Linked DNA regions of Diceros bicornis minor. Each later gene encodes a partner of the first gene's protein in a complex. Links are inferred from orthologs where the notes say so. Each region holds a gene or a part of one and is shown in the gene's direction. Other genes may lie near its edges. The genes, in order: NF2 and LATS2.

The links.
Region 2: the proteins of NF2 (region 1) and LATS2 are in contact, whole or in part, in a crystal structure (PDB 4ZRI), measured with the Homo sapiens proteins. The link is inferred for Diceros bicornis minor from reciprocal best matches to the Homo sapiens genes NF2 and LATS2. Residues at the interface, in NP_000259.1 of Homo sapiens: Pro135, Glu136, Ala137, Val139, Leu140, Tyr144, Asn175, Leu176, Tyr177, Gln178, Met179, Trp184, Arg187, Trp191, Glu206, Lys209, Ile210; in NP_055387.2 of Homo sapiens: Tyr73, Ala76, Leu77, Glu79, Ile80, Arg81, Ser83, Leu84, Leu85, Phe87, Ala88, Asn89.

What each region holds. Positions count from the first base shown.
Region 1 is NC_080774.1:23,187,711-23,195,104, forward strand, and holds the start of NF2 (merlin), read left to right. Parts: upstream 1-4,139; 5' UTR 4,140-4,545; coding exon 4,546-4,659; intron 4,660-7,394. UniProt on the Homo sapiens protein: Probable regulator of the Hippo/SWH (Sav/Wts/Hpo) signaling pathway, a signaling pathway that plays a pivotal role in tumor suppression by restricting proliferation and promoting apoptosis.
Region 2 is NC_080748.1:5,593,683-5,601,898, reverse strand, and holds the start of LATS2 (serine/threonine-protein kinase LATS2), read left to right. Parts: upstream 1-5,121; 5' UTR 5,122-5,288; intron 5,289-8,216. UniProt on the Homo sapiens protein: Negative regulator of YAP1 in the Hippo signaling pathway that plays a pivotal role in organ size control and tumor suppression by restricting proliferation and promoting apoptosis.

The sequences.
Region 1 (7,394 bases):
AGAAAGAAACACGATTGGTAACATGGTTCACAACGTGTGTAAGAGAGAAAAAAAATTACACCCATACATGGGATCCTATGCAGCTCTTCAAAAATTATATTATGGAATACTTAATGATATGGGAAAATATTCATAATATATTAATGAATGAGAAAATAGCAAATCACAAAAAAGTATGTACTATATGAAAGTAGTGGGCCAGTGGATTATGCAAGCTAAAATTTGTTTTTCCTTCTGCTTGTATCAGTTTTCTATTACTGTGTAACAAGTTATGACAAATTTAGTGGTAATTACATTTATTATCTCACAGTGTCACGGGTCTGGAATCTGGGCGTAGCATGATCTTCTGCTCAGGGTTTCACAAGGCTGTAATTAAGGTGTCAGCCATATCACGGTTCTTATCTGGAACTCAGGATTCTCCTCCTAGCTCATTCAGGTTGTTGGCAGAATTCAGCTGCTTGTGGTTGTAGGACTGAAGTCCCTCTGCTTGCTAGCTGCCAGATGGGGACCACTCTCCATTCCCAGAGGCCACCCAGAGTTCCTTCCACTGTGGCCCCGTAGGCATTTCACAACGTGGATATTTGTTTTCTTCCAAGCCAGCAGGAATGCATCTCTCTGACTCTCTCCATCATGCTGGACCTCTAGACCTCCTTTTAAGAGTTCGCCTGATTAGGTCAGCCCCACCCAAAATAATCTCCCTTTTAATGAACTGAACTGATTAGGGATTACTTCTGCAAAAATCCCTTTTGCCATATAAAGTAACATAATCACAGGAATAATATCCCATCATATCCGTAGGTCTTGCCCATGCTCAAGGGGGAGTATTATACAAGGCTGTGGGTCATTGGGATACATTTTAGAATTATGCCTACCACACTGCTTATCTGCCGTTTTTTGTTTCCTTTTTATAATGCATATGGATTACTTGTAAAAGAAGGAAAAACACAATAAAAGTTATTAAAAAAATAAAAAGCAAATCAGCCTCTCATGAGAAATACAAGTACTGGGGCATAAGAGTTGTTTTTTTCATGGGTCTTCATAGAAAGGATGCTGTGTGAACCTTTGTCAGCTAAATCTCTACTGTAAAGACAGTCAGAGTTCCTCAGGGCTGTTTCTTATAACACCCTCAGTGCAGGACACTGTCTTTGTGCTAATGTGCAGTAAAAGTAATTCTGCAAGTGGCCAAAAACGACGGAGTCCAGTTTTTGGCAGAGGGGTCATAATCTAGAACTCACATGTAGCATTGAGGATAAGTTGATTTAATCTGGGGGATGAGCTGATTTATTCTGGGGTTCATAGATGTGCTTGGATGAGTCTTTCCATGAATCTCCTAAAACAATATGCAAAATTCTGTGCATGTGTGCATTCGTTTGAGGAAAGGGTCCACTGGTTGCATTGGATTCTCAATAGATTGTTTTTGACTCAAAAAAAAGGAACCATTGCTCTGCAGCAGGATTTCTTTATCTTGGCACTATTGACACTTGGGGCGGGATACTTCTTTGTTGTACGGGGTTGTCCTATGCCTTGTAGGATGTTTAACAGCATCCCTAGCCTTTTTTTTTTTTTTGTGAGGAGATCAGCCCTGTGCTAACATCTGCCAATCCTCCTCATTTTTCGCTGAGGAAGACTGGCCCTGGGCTAACATCCGTGCCCATCTTCCTCCACTTTTTTCTATATGGGACGCCGCCACAGCATGGCTTGCCAAGCAGTGCATCGGTGCACGCCCGGGATCCGAACCGGCGAACCCCGGGCCATGGCAGCGGAGCGTGTGCACCCAACCGCTTGCGCCACTGGGCCAGCCCCAACAGCATCCTTAGCCTTTAGCCATAGAGGACAGGCACACCATCTAGTTGTGACAACCAGAAAAAAAATCTCCAGACATTGCCAAATGTCCCTGGAGGGAAGGGACCTCACTTTGAGAACCACTGATCTTCTGGAAGAATGGAGGAATGAAATGTAAGTCAGGTAAGATCTGGATTAAAACAGTCCTGAATGCAAATTGCAGTTCTACCAATTACGATTTTCGGTAAATTACCTAATTTCAGCTTTATCCAAGTTCCTCATATATAAACTAGGAATATAATACAATACGTACCAAATAGGATCTTGATAAAGATCAAAAGAAATAAAGCATGCAAAATCCTTTGCAGAATACCTTAGATGGTAAGCACTTAATAAATGGTAGCTATTAATATTGTTTCCATAGTTGAGACCATAGTATTTCCTCACATTCTTCACTTATTCGTTCAATAGATATTTATTTTAACTGGTGTCTGTGTGTTAGGTCTTTTGTAACGAGCTCTATCTGAATTATTCCTTCTCAAACCCTTATCTGGTAGGTACTATTATCATCTCTGTTTATTCTTTGTGAATGGCACTTTTAATGCCAGCATAATATTCCATCACATCTATTTTAATTCTGGCCCTGGCTTCCCTTCTGAGATTCAGACCCATATGGACATCCAGGTCTGGATGTCCCCCCAGGAACATTAAATTTGGCATGTTTAGCCAATCAGCACGGTGCCTAGCACCTAGTAAGCTTTCCATAAAAGCGAGCTATTACTGGCCATCAATATCATTTTTAGCCCCTGCTGTGTGATCCACCTCCTCTTCCTACTCCTCAGTGGGTTCCCAGAGCCTCTTATTTTCTGTCAGCAGCCTTGGCCCTGGGTTAAAACCCTGATTTTTTGTCCCTGTAGGGAGACTATAGGAGAATCCAATTCTCCCTCCTGCAAGTAAGAACTGAAGCGATGAAAATGAAGACACTCCCACACCAAGCCCATATTGCCCTGAACAATCTTTTGGTGAGTAGACAGACATAATGTTCCACCACAGCAGCCCTGCTGAGCGTGCCAGCAAGTGACTCCTGGGGCCTGGCTGGTGCTTCCTGGTGCTGTAGGCGCCCATGGGGAAGAGCCAGACTTATGCTATTAGCATAGTTACAGCAAGTGTCTGCTGAGTGCTCCAGAACTGTAGTTCATATTTCTCCAGGCAGCAACAGGAGCAATTTGGAAGCCACAACCAGGGAAGCAGGGCAGTGCAGTGGTAATACCCAGTGGGATCACCCTGGGTCCCAGCTTGGCCTCTCATTATCTGGGTGACTGGGAGCAAGTGGCTCTGTCATGCTGAGCCTGTTTCTTCAGCTGTAGGGTGGGGACGATGCTAATGAGGGTTAACACTCATGGAGCCCTTACTGTTCAGTTAAAACTCATGAAATTGTCTTTATTCAATTATCTTAGAATTTATTTTTAAGTACATAAAGTTATAATCCCCCATCATACACACACGTTATAACCTTTGATGACATTTAAAAAAAATAAATGCACGTTAATGGTTCGAAAATGGAAACCACAGAGAACAAAATAAAAAATGCTTCCCTTTTTCGGCCGTTTTTGATCTACAAAAACAGCAATTTCATAGGATTCAACCTAGTATGCGCCAGCCACCGTTCTAAAGCTTTATATATATTAACTCACTTAAATTTTTCAACAACTCCATGAAGTAGGTACAATTTTTATCCCCCACCCCTTTGGTAATAATATTTCTCCTAAAGAGAGGCAGAAGGATCTGGAGGAGACTGCTGGCAACCTAAGCGGCCTCCACAACTGACTCAAAAGTTTTCGAGAAACATAGAGGTCAATAAATGTAATTAATTAAATGCCAAACAGGATTAGCCTCCGGGTGTCCGAAACACGACGTCCTGGGGCGCCACACACGGCGCGTACTCGGTCCATACAGGCCAACTCCCACGCCCCTGGACCAGTCTCTACGCGGTTTCCCAGGAAAGGCGCGCCGGGCTCCGCCGCCTCAACCAGCCTTGCTAGAGTAGGCGTACCCCTACGAACAAAAGCGTTCGGAGTGACTGCCGCTATAGCCACTCAACGCCGAGCCCAGGCCTCCGCCGCCGGTCAGAGCGGAACTTCCAATTGGTGGAGTCGTTCTGAAGAAGGCTGGACGGAGCAGGGAAAGTCCCGCCTTCCTCAGAGTTCTCAGCCAACCGTGGCGTCTGGGCGGAGGCCGCCTGTTAGGGTGCGCTGTGTGTAGCGATCTGGGGGGCCTGAGGGCGGGGCGGGGAGCAGGCCCGGGGCTGCGGGGAGGGGACGCTTCCCGCGGGTGCGCGGAGTGAGGACGGTGACAGCCACGCGCGCACGTGCGCGCCCGGCTGCGGCGCGGCCCCGAGACCTCCGTCGGCCGCTGAGAGGCGCCCGGAGTCTGGGCCGCCGCTGTCTAGGGGCTGATACACGGGCGTCCCCAGCGTCCTCGGCCCGAGTCCCGGAGCGCCGGGCCGTACCCGCCCCGTCGGTCCGCGCTCGCGTTCCCTGCCCGCGGCCGTCAGGGCCCGCCTCCCAAGTCCCCTCTCCGTTCCCGGGGCAGGGTCCTCGCGGTCCATGCTGGCCGCTGGGGGCCCGCGCCACCCAGACAGCTCCCGGGCCGGCCGGCCGGCCACCATGGTGGCTCTGAGGCCTGTGCGGCTCCTCCAGGGGGGCTAACAGGCCCAGAGCGCAGGCTTCGGGGCACGAGGGTCCCGGGCCTGAGCCCCGCGCCATGGCCGGGGCCATCGCTTCCCGCATGAGCTTCAGCTCACTCAAGAGGAAGCAGCCCAAGACGTTCACCGTGCGGATCGTTACCATGGACGCCGAGATGGAGTTCAATTGCGAGGTAACCGGCCGGCAGCCCCGACGGGCTGCGGAGAGGGGTAGCCCAGAATCCTCTCGCCGGGCCCCACCAACCCGGGCGCCCTTGCCACGGTGACAGTCGAGGTGGAAGCTTGAGGGATTCTGCTTATATCATCTCTGGGTATAGGTAGAGACTGCTAGAACCAGAAGGAACCATCTAGGCCCAAATCCTCAAATTAAAGATAATTGCTGCTTTTTTCAATTTTGGGTTTGGAAGCACTTCTTGAAGGTTTTCATTCATTGTTATTGCAAGAGGCTGGAAGCATCCGTGGTAGCGAATTCTAGTTTTCAGTGGCAGGTTCAGCTCCAGCTCTATAGAGGTTTTACTTCATTAGATAATATTATGTACCCCTGGTATTAAAAGTTGCATGTCATTTTATTGGAAAGTCTGTACTTGTTTCTCTTTTCCAAAACTTAAATTTTCTGGAAAAAAACTGTTTGAGGAATGAGATGGTGTCTGAAACTTTCTGTAGAGTTTCTATCATGATGATAAGTTATCATGTATTGAATACTTTCTAAGTGCCAGGCATTCATACATTTAATTCTCACAGCAACCCAATGAGGTAGGTACCCCAAACCATATATCTAGTAAATGGTGAAGTAAGGTTTTGAATCAAGCTCTTAGCCAATACAGTACTGCCTCTCAAGTAGTTTAGGTCCTTGCTACTCAAAGGGTGGTCTATGGATTGGCATTGGCAGCAGTGACCTAGGTGAGGGGTTGGCAAACTTTTCCTGTAAAGGGCCACATAGTAATTATTTTCAGCTTTTTGAGCTGTAGGGTATCGGTTGCAACTACTCACACCTCTTCAGCTCTACCATGTAGCACAAAAGCAGCCTTAGACAGGGTCAGCTTCCATCAGGACAGCGTGAGGAGCTCCACTGAGCTGGTCCCCTGTAAAACTGGTAAAAATTATTTGAAAAAACAGTAATTTAAACCCTCTGGAAATGGTCCTAAGGGCAAACATCAAGTGAAGAAACATCTTTTCAAGAAAATCTATCAAGGGGCCGGCCCGGTGGCATAGCGGTTAAGTGCTCACGCTCTGCTGCAGTGGCCTGGGGTCTGTAGGTTCGGATCCCAGGCGCGCACCGACGCACCGCTTGTCAAGCCATGCTGTGGCGGCGTCCCATATAAAGTAGAGGAAGATGGGCACGGATGTTAGCCCAGGGCCAGTCTTCCTCGGCAAGAAGAGGAAGATTGGCATCAGATGTTAGCTCAGGGCTGATCTTCCTCACAAAAAAAAGAAAATCTATCAAAATTTGGTAAGAAAGGTGAGAGTTTGTGGTCTTTGAACCAAGACTGCTACCACCCTCCCTGCTCCCAGCTCAGCAAGGTAGAAATTCCACTCTAGACTGCTGTAACCCAGAACACAGGGCTCCCTCTACTCCTGGCTCCCAGTCAGGTGGCTTTCTTCCCAGGAGGAGCAGGACTTCAGAGCTTCTCATCTTGCCCAAGGCTACTTGTTGCTGAGGCTAAGTCCTGGGTGTGTGAAGTTGAAAGATGGAACTTGCTTCTTCCACCCAGCTCCTACTTATGGAATGGGGGCTGTACCCTGGTGGCACACTGAGAATACTGGACCCCAGTTGTTCTTGTCCCTAACCTCAGTTTGTGAGATGGTAGTTCCAGCCAGGAGAGGCAAACTGAAAAGACTTCAGTTTAGTGTGTCCCCCATCCCCCCTTCCACCAAGGGCTCAGAGATTTTGCCTGGAGGGAGAAGCAGGCTTTAAAACCCTTGGTTTCTAATCTCTTCCCAAAGGTAGTGACTTCATTTGCAACAAAGCAGAGAAGTTTATGCTTAAGGGTACTCTCAGGAACAGTGGAGGTTTTGGTGAAAGACAATTGGGAGGACTTTTGTAGATCTAATGAAGATAACAGCCTAGACTGTAGGCTAAGTAGTTTGCAGGAGAGAATCAGGGAATAAGACAACTGGGAAGAGCCCTCTTGGCGTCAGAACAAATATCAAACACTAATTTCAGAAACTGTTTCCTCAAAAAGCCACCTTTTGATTGGATTACTTTGTAGAGCAAATTACACCCTGAGCATTGTTGAAAATAATAGAATAATATACCACAGTGAGTGGAGTTTAACAGCTGGGCATGATCAGGGAAGGAGAGGAACAGAGCCCTGCTAAAACCACTGTCATCCAGGGTGACTGTGGGCATACCCAGAGATGCACCTCCCTGAGGAGCAACAACATAGGCCTTAACACTGTATGAGGGAAATTGATTTCACTAAAACAGTCTCGCCAGTCACTAAACAAATAAACAGGCAAATAATAATAATAAGCCCTGGAGCGGGGGGGGGCAGTCCTCAGAGTTGCTATAATATGTTATCTAAAATGTCTAGTTTCCAATGAAAAATTATGAGGCATGCAAAGGAACAGGGAAGTATGATCCGTACGGTGGAAAAATCTAGCAACAGAAATTGCTTGTGAGAGCTACTAGATGTCAGATTTAACAAAAAAATTTCAAAGTATACATTATAAATATGCTCACAGAACTAAAGGAAAGCATGATTAAAGAAGTAAAGGAATATATAAAGATATTTTTTGCATCAAATAGAGAATATCAATAAAGAGATGGGAATTATAAAAAAGAGCCAAATTAAAATTCTGGAGTTGGAAAGTACAATGACTGAAATAAAAGATTCACTAGAGGGGTTCAAGTAGATTTGAACTGGCAGAAGAAAGAATCAGTGTACTTTAAGATAGATTGATAGAG
Region 2 (8,216 bases), on another chromosome or scaffold:
TGTCTCTTGTATGCAGCATATATATGAGTCTTGTTTTTTTATCCAATCAGCCACCCTATGCCTTTTAATTGGAGGATTTAGTCCATTGACATTTAAAGTAGCTGTTGATAAGTTTGTACTTACTGCCATTTTTTAACTTTTTTTTTCTCAGTGTTTTAGTAGTCCTTCTCTGTTTCTTTTTTCTTCTCTTGCTCTCTTCCCTTGTGGTTTGATGGCTTTCTTTAGTATTATGTTTGGGTTCCTTTCTCTTAGTTTTTTGTGTATTTATTATAGGTTTCTGGTTTGTGATTACCATGGGGTCCGTACACAGAGTTGATGGTCTCTTTAGTTTGACCTCTGTCTGAAAGCTCTGCTCTTTAACTCCTTTCCTCCCACATTTTATGTTTTTGGTATCATATCTAACCTCTTTTTTGTGCATTTGTATCCATTACATTCTTATCATGGAAATAGATAATTTTTCCTATTTGTGGTCTTCTCTTTTCCCCTTAAATAAGTCCCTTTAGCATTTCTTGTAACACTGGTTTCTTGGTGACAAACTCCTTTAATTTTTGCTTGTCTGGGAAACTTTTTATTTCTCCTTCCATTTTGAATGATAACCTTGCCAGGTAGAGTATTCTTGGCTGTAAGTTTTTTCCTTTCAGCACTTTAAATATATCATGCCACTATCTTCTAGTCTGTAAGGTTTCTGCTGAGAAGTCAGCTGATAACTTTATGGGGTTTCCTTTGTATGTAACTTGTCTTTCTCTTGTGGCTTTTAGAATTCTCTCTTTATCTTTAATCCTGGACATTTTAATTATGATGTGTCTTGGTGGGGGCCTCTTTGGGTTTATCTTGTTTGGTGCTCTCTGTGCTTCCTGTACCTGGATGTCTGTGTCCTTCCTTAGGTTAGGGAAGTTTTCATCTATTATTTCTTCAAATAGATTCTCTGCCCCTTTGTCTCACTCTTCTCCTTCTGGGACACCTATAACACGGATGTTAGTGCACTTGATGTTGTCTCAGAGGTCCCTTAGACTGTCCTCACTCTTTTTAATCCTTTTTTCTTTTACCTGTTCAGCTTGGGTGATTTCTTCTAGTCTTTCATCTAGCTCACTACAAAGTTCTTTATATATAGTTTTGGGGGGAGAATATGGTCCCCATTCTTGTGGAATTTATAATCTAATTAAGAAGACAAAATATATGAGTATAAAACAAAAAAATCAGTGCAGCACATCTTCTTCCTGGTTTTCTAGGCCTTTCATATCCTGACTCTACTCTACTTTTTTGTGTGTGTGAGGAAGATCAGCTCTGAGCTAACATCTATGCCAATCCTCCTCTTTTTGCTGAGGAAGACTGGCCCTGGGCTAACACCTGTGCCCATCTTCCTCCACTTTATATGGGACGCCACCACAGCATGGCCTGACAAGCAGGGCATCGGTGCGCACCCAGGATCGGACTCGGGCCACCAGCAGCGGAACATGCACGCTGAACCACTACACTACCAGGCCAGCCCCTCTAGTCTATTTTTTCACTACTCCCCTTAGAGAACATTCTTCTGTAGTTAGGCAGATTTGCTAAGTCTCCCCCACAGATTATAAAAAAGGAGGCTTTTTCTTTCCAAAATGACAAAAATTGTGTCTAGAGACCAGAGCCTGTTTTCCAGGCACTAAGGTATGAGCCATAATCAGGTTTCTTGCATTCACAGCTTGGCGGGGAAGTGGGGCGTGGTAGGTAGTCTTAGGGTGATATTCCCTAGGGGCCTCAGTGAGAACTGCTAAAACATCCGGGCCCCACAACTGCAGGGGCCTCATTGGTGAGTAGACTCCCTGTGCCTGCAGCCCACAGCCTCTTTTTTCTCTGGTTGGTGCTGGAGACACATGTCTTTGAGCTCCACTCTTCCTCACTCCACAAAAGCCATTCCTCTTCCCTCAAACAAACTATAGGGGAGTTAATTTTGTTTCAGTTTCCTTATTTATAAGTACACTGTAATCATGACTTTTTGAGATTACCTGAAGAGAGCCTTATAATTCAGTGTTGCCTAGCTCTGGAGTCAGATCTACCAAGGTTCAAATCCCAGCTCTTTGATCTTGAGTGAGTTACTTGGGTTCTCTGTGTTATAGGGTCCTTTTCTATAAAATGGGGTTGATAACATGGTTGTCTAGAGGATTAAATGAGATAATACACAAGTTTAGGGCAACACTTGGTTGTAAGGACACACAAACACATACGCATATATAAACATACTATGTTAATCAATTAATTTATACACTGCAACATTGCCACTGCTACAGGCTTTGTGCTCATCTGGCCTTGTGTTATTTCTCTCTTTTCTCCCCTTCTCAGCTGGATGCATTACGTGAATGTACTCATTTAGCTGATTACTTAATTTAGACATAGTTTTTGTTGCTAACTATCCTATTTAGGAATATCAGGAATTATAAGACAAAAATCACCCAGAATGACTATATCCAGAGACTACCACTTTTTTTTGTTTTGGTGAGGAAGATTAGCCCTGAACTAACATCTGTTGCCAATCCTCTTCTTTTAGCTGAGGAAGATGGGTCCTGGGCTAACATCCGTGCCCATCTTCCTCTACTTCATATGTGAGATGCCGCCACAGCATGGCTTAATGAGAGTGGTATGTAGCTCCACACCTGGGATCTGAACCTGTGAACCCCAGGCTGCCTGAAGTGGTGCAAACTTAACCACTACACCACCGGGCCGGCCCCTAGAGACCACCATTTTTAACATTTGGCTGCATACTTTTCTGGACTTTAAAATATATAATATTTTATATTATATAGTATTATATAATTTATAATATATTATTAATATATTTTTAAAATATATAAATATATATATACTGACATTGTTTCACAAAATTAGATGCTATACTCTATTTTGTCATTTGCTTTTCTTCTTGAACACATCTACAAGACTGTTAGCTCCACCAGGGGATAAGTCTTGTGGTTTTGTCCCTAGTGTCTGGTTTAGCCCACGGCTCATAACAGATACTCAAAAAATAAAACAACTCAAAGGAATGAATGACTCCATGTCAATAAACACATATCCCAATAACAATAAACACAATCATTAATCATAATATTCTCCTAAATAAGTGTGTCACATTTTCCCCAGGCAAGCCTCTAATTGGAAATTTACTTGTTTCCAATTTGTTTCATACATATATATTTGAAAAATTTAAAAAGATGTTTTAAAAAAAGGCACAAAGAATAACACAACACACATTATTGAACCTAATCACCCAGAATCAACAAATTTTAAGATTTTGACAGTTTTGCTTCACTTCTTTAAATAAAAAAAAAAGCATTGCAGATAAAGCTGAACTCTTTCTCTCCTCAGTCTAATTTCTCTCCTTCCTTCTACACAGGCAACAGCTGTCATGAATTTGGTGTGTACTTTTGTAGTCCATGTCTCTACTTATATAAAGTATAGGATTAGTATAGGTTCTGCGGGGTTTTGTTTATATATAAATATGGCATCATAGTGTATATATAGTTATGCAACTTTCTTTTTTCTACTCTACAATGGTTTTGAATTCTGTCTACACTCATTTTTTCTTTGAAAAGTACAGAGCTAGTTAGTTCATTCACTTAGCTATTTTATATATTTCATCATTTGAATATCTACCATCTATTTTCCTATTATTCCCTATTGCTGGACATTTAAGTTCTTCCTGATTTTTCACTATTGCAAACAATGCTGTAATGGTTGTTGTAATTACAAAATTTTATTAGGTGTTTACACATAAATTTTAAAGTCCATTAAATTCCTCTTATTTACAATATTTCACTTGACAAAAATGTTTTATTTAATTATGTTCAGATCTTTGAAGACAGAGCAAGGGCAAGATCTTTAAACACACACAAAGGAAGACTGGTAGCCAGCCCTGCGGCTTGGGGCTTGGGTGCAGAAAGTATGGGCAGTGTATAAGGGAAAAGGTACACAGCTGAGTGCAAGGGGGACTCAGTTACAGAATATCTGCTGGAGATTTATACTGCGCAACATGTCTGGGTTGAGCACAGGATACGACTGAAAAAGTAAATTGAATTCCAAACTGCACAATAATGGTTTAATTACCAGAGCTCAAAGAAGAGAGAAAACAGGAGGGAGATCTGAGAAGATTCCCTGGAAGAGCCAAGGCAAAGTCAGGGCTAAAAACCTGGGTGGGATTTAGAAAGGAAGGAGGAGAAGATGGCAGACCAGGGACAGGTAAGGTTGTTAAAACAGTCCGGAGATAATGACCTTATTTACTGTTTCTTTCCAGATTAAAATTTAAAAATTTCACAGGAGTTTATTAATTAAAAAGGAAATTAGGTTGGCTTTTAAATCGATGTTAGTCCTCCTCATCATCTACCACAGACTGTAGGCGGTAGGAAGTATGACGTTAGACGGACAGCCAGAAGTAGATTAAAGATTTGGCTTCCAGTCTGTTATTTCTACTCACATCTCTGCACAGTCCCTGCATACGTCCTTGTACCAAATCCATAGCCCCCAAATGGAAAGACAGTCAGCGGTTGAAACGCAAAAACCAAAATCTCTCTTGTTGGTATACATTCTTATACTGTTCTGTATACCATAAAACACTTCTCATAAACAAAATATACACAGCACTGGGGGTTGATTAAATTAAAACCGATTGAATTTGGGTGTATATTTGACGTCTTTCCATGACTCACGGCTAGCTGTCTGCCCTTTTCGGCACCTATTTGGTAACTTGGTGGCTCCTTCAAGCCTGTTAACTTACTTTCTTCACCAAGGCTGGTGTGAGATGCTTAAGAAAAAAGTGGCTGTAAGACAGAGTTACCAACTTTTAATACAAGTCCAGTCGAGGGGGCAATACTGGAGTTGGGGCCGGGTGACAAACTGGCAAAAAGGTCCGTAGGAGGAGGCGGGGAGGCCGCGGGCAGGTGGCGACGGGCGCGGGCGGCCGCGACCTGGAGGCAGGAAGCGGCGGCCGGGCGGAGCGAGCCGGCCGCCGAGCGGCAAGGGCCGCAGGCGCCCCGCCCGGGCTGGTATGCGGCCGAGAGTGACGCGGGAGGCGGGGTCACGTGACGCCCGTGGAATGCCAACAATGTAGCGAATGTCCCACTTGGGTCTGCGCGTTGGAACAGCGGCGTGAGCGCCCCGGGAAGATGGAGCAGCCGCCGCCCGCGCCGCCGCCGCCCGGGGCTCCCCTGTCCCTGCGGGGCCAGCAGCAGCTCCAGCCACCGGCGCCCGGTCCCCCGGCGCGCGAGGCCCCGGAGCCACAGGCGAGGACGCCCCGGAGCGTGTAGACCGCGCCCCAGGAGGTGAAGGGGCAGGGGCGGGAGCGGGCGGCCAAGGAAGTTTGTCAGGACCGGAGCTCTGCGCCCTGCCCCCACGGCCCCCGCCCGTCCTGGGCCCAGAGCCGCCCCCGCCGGCGGCGCGTCGTCGCGGGCCGTCCGGAGTCCGCCGAGCCGGCTCGCGCGGGCCGGGAGGCTGGGGGCGAGCGCCGGGCGGCAGGGTGCGCCGCTTTGTTGTGCGCTGGGGGCCGGGGGCGGCGAGCGGGGGGCGCCCGCGCCTCCACCGTCCCGGGAGCCGGGCTTCTACCCGAGTGCCCGGCCTCCGCGGTGCCAGCGGGCGGCCCTGACAGCGCCGGGGTCCCGCGCCTGGCCGCCCCGCCTTCCACGGAGGCCGCCCCGTCGTACCCGACTGGCCGCGGCGTCGTGTCCCCACGGAGGCCGCGCCGCTGTGTCCCCTCGGGCGGCGGGGAAGCCGGGCCCGCCCCGGCGTCTCCGTGTTGGCCTCCAGGTCCTCGCGGGTCGAAGCCCGGGCTTCCAGGGGCGCATTCGTGGCCGTGAGAGCGGCGGCCGTTGCATAACGTGCCCGTCCTGCGCCCCAGTCTAGCCGACTTTTCTGGAGGTTGTCTTTTCTGATGCAACTTTACTTGTAGTTAGTTCCGCGGCCGGACTCGGGAGATGCAGATTCCGATAAAATTCGCATTTTGGCAATCACTTCTGCTCCAGCCTTACTTCGGAACTTCAGGACGAGCGTCTGCCTCCGGGTGAAGCCTGGCCTGGGGTCGGGCAGGAGTGCCAGCTCGGAGCAGACCTTTCGTTTGTGGATTCCAAGTCCCCGGTGCCCTGGGGGTGGGGGAAGGGGAAGGCATACCCCCAAAGAAGGTAAAACGCACCGGACGGCGGTGTCACGGGTGTCCTGGGCTGCCGGCAGCATGTTCTGAGGCCCTCGAATGAGAAGTAGTCTTTGCAAGCATAACCGTGAAAAGTACACTTTATTTGTAGATTTTATGTTGACAAAATTTTAAACAACAACTTTTACATTTTCACACCTATGTAGAATATAAGTGAGAGTGTTCTTAATGTAATAGTCATCTAGACTTTTAAAAATTATTTAACCTTGGCTATTAAACCAGGGAGTATACACTTGGCAAGTAAAAATTCAGTGGCCCATCAGCTCTCTTCCCAATGTATTCAGCAAATATGTACATTTTTAAAGGAAAGATTGCCCACATTTTACTAAGAAACTTGAATATACTGAAATTTGAATGGAAAGACAAAATGTGTGTGATCTTCGTACAGGTGTTCTGTTTAAATTTTGACTTAGTAGATGAGGGGCCTTCCCTTAGTAATGGAGAAAGTAACTCGCGGCTTATTATTAGGGAATTTGTACTAAATAGATCTTGCTCCATATTTTTTGTTGATTCTCAGCTTAAATCCCTGTGTGATGGATTACCATTTTTGAGTGCTAAATCAAAATACTAAGTTGCTTGGTATCTTCTAAGCTTTTTGTTTAGCAACTGTTGTAGTAAGGTGGTAACAGAAAAATCTTCCAAAAGAAGAATGCAGAGACTATTTAAGAAGGTCTGTTTTGAATTATAATTAACAAGACGCTGTTATTCAGCATCTCATAAAATTTGGTCTCATTATCCAGGTATATAGAGCACTGTTTAATGAATATGACAGCATTCCCTTGAAATTAAAATTGCTGTACATTTAATAGATCTCAACATGTCAAGCAATTTAAAGTGGCATCCGAACAGAAGATGTCATGCGAAATTATTGAGGTGAATGAATTACTAGAATCACGGAATTTTAGAATTGAAGGGATTCTTTTAGCCTCTCCATCTGTTTTGAAAGTTTTGACTGAAGTGTAAATTGGAGCTGTACATATTTCTTTCTTTCCTTAGCAAATCACAGGGTTGGTGGGAGGGACTTCCCTTTGGTGGGAGGGGAATGTTTTTACAATAAGAAGCCTTGTTATTTTAAATGCTGTGTTGTGAATAGCCAGTCCTAGGCTCCTAAATCCCATTGTAGGGGGGTGGAGAGGTAGGGGAGGTGTTGAAGCTGATAAATTAACCATGAACACGAAGGAAGGATTTGGGGAAGCTTTGGAGCTGTTCTGCTTTGTATTGGAAAAACCAGACCAACACAGTTTTTGAAAAGCTGCTTTTATATTTTATTTCATGGTTATAATAATGTGAAACTTCTAAATAATATTCCTTACTGACTTTTTAAAAATAGTGGGCTTGAAGACATACAGAAGATAAATTTAGTGCATTTATTTTGTCTTAAATGTAATTCTGCTCTAAAAAGGATCAAAATATCCTGATAAACAGAATGAAGAGATTGGTCTTGATAATCCCTGAAGTGACTGACTTCCAGCTCAAAAAATTCTCATAATCTTCCTTTTTAAAAAGCCTGTTGCTTAGTAATTCCTCTGGATAGAACTGGGCCTTGCATGAGTCCAGGGGGTCACCATTCCCATTGTATGCGGAGTGGATGAGCTCTGGGAGGTGGAGCTTCCTCACACAGAGCACCTGTGAATTGCTCCCGAAGTTTGTCGGTGGCCTGCTTGGGCCACTAGTTTCACTAAGTATTAGTCAGCTGTTCTTTCAGTACTTTTAAGGCTAATGTTATTTGATTTACAGTTTCATTTTGAAAGTATTATTAAAATAATGTTGGAAATAGAGATAATGGTTATGATGCTAAAATTAGAATGGAAATTTTACACTGCTTAATGTTCTCATTCACTATATGAAAACTTTATGTTGCTTACCATCTAGACTGTGTCAACCTACCTGTAACAAGTGATTTTTTTTTAAGTTAAATACTTTTTGTTCATGTGCCAGTATTTGACGTTCATAGGAATTTTTCTGGAGGACAAATGGAAAATCTCATATTTTGTAGCAGTGCTTTGTGTTTATTGTTAATTCATTGTGAAGATATTGCGGCATAGCG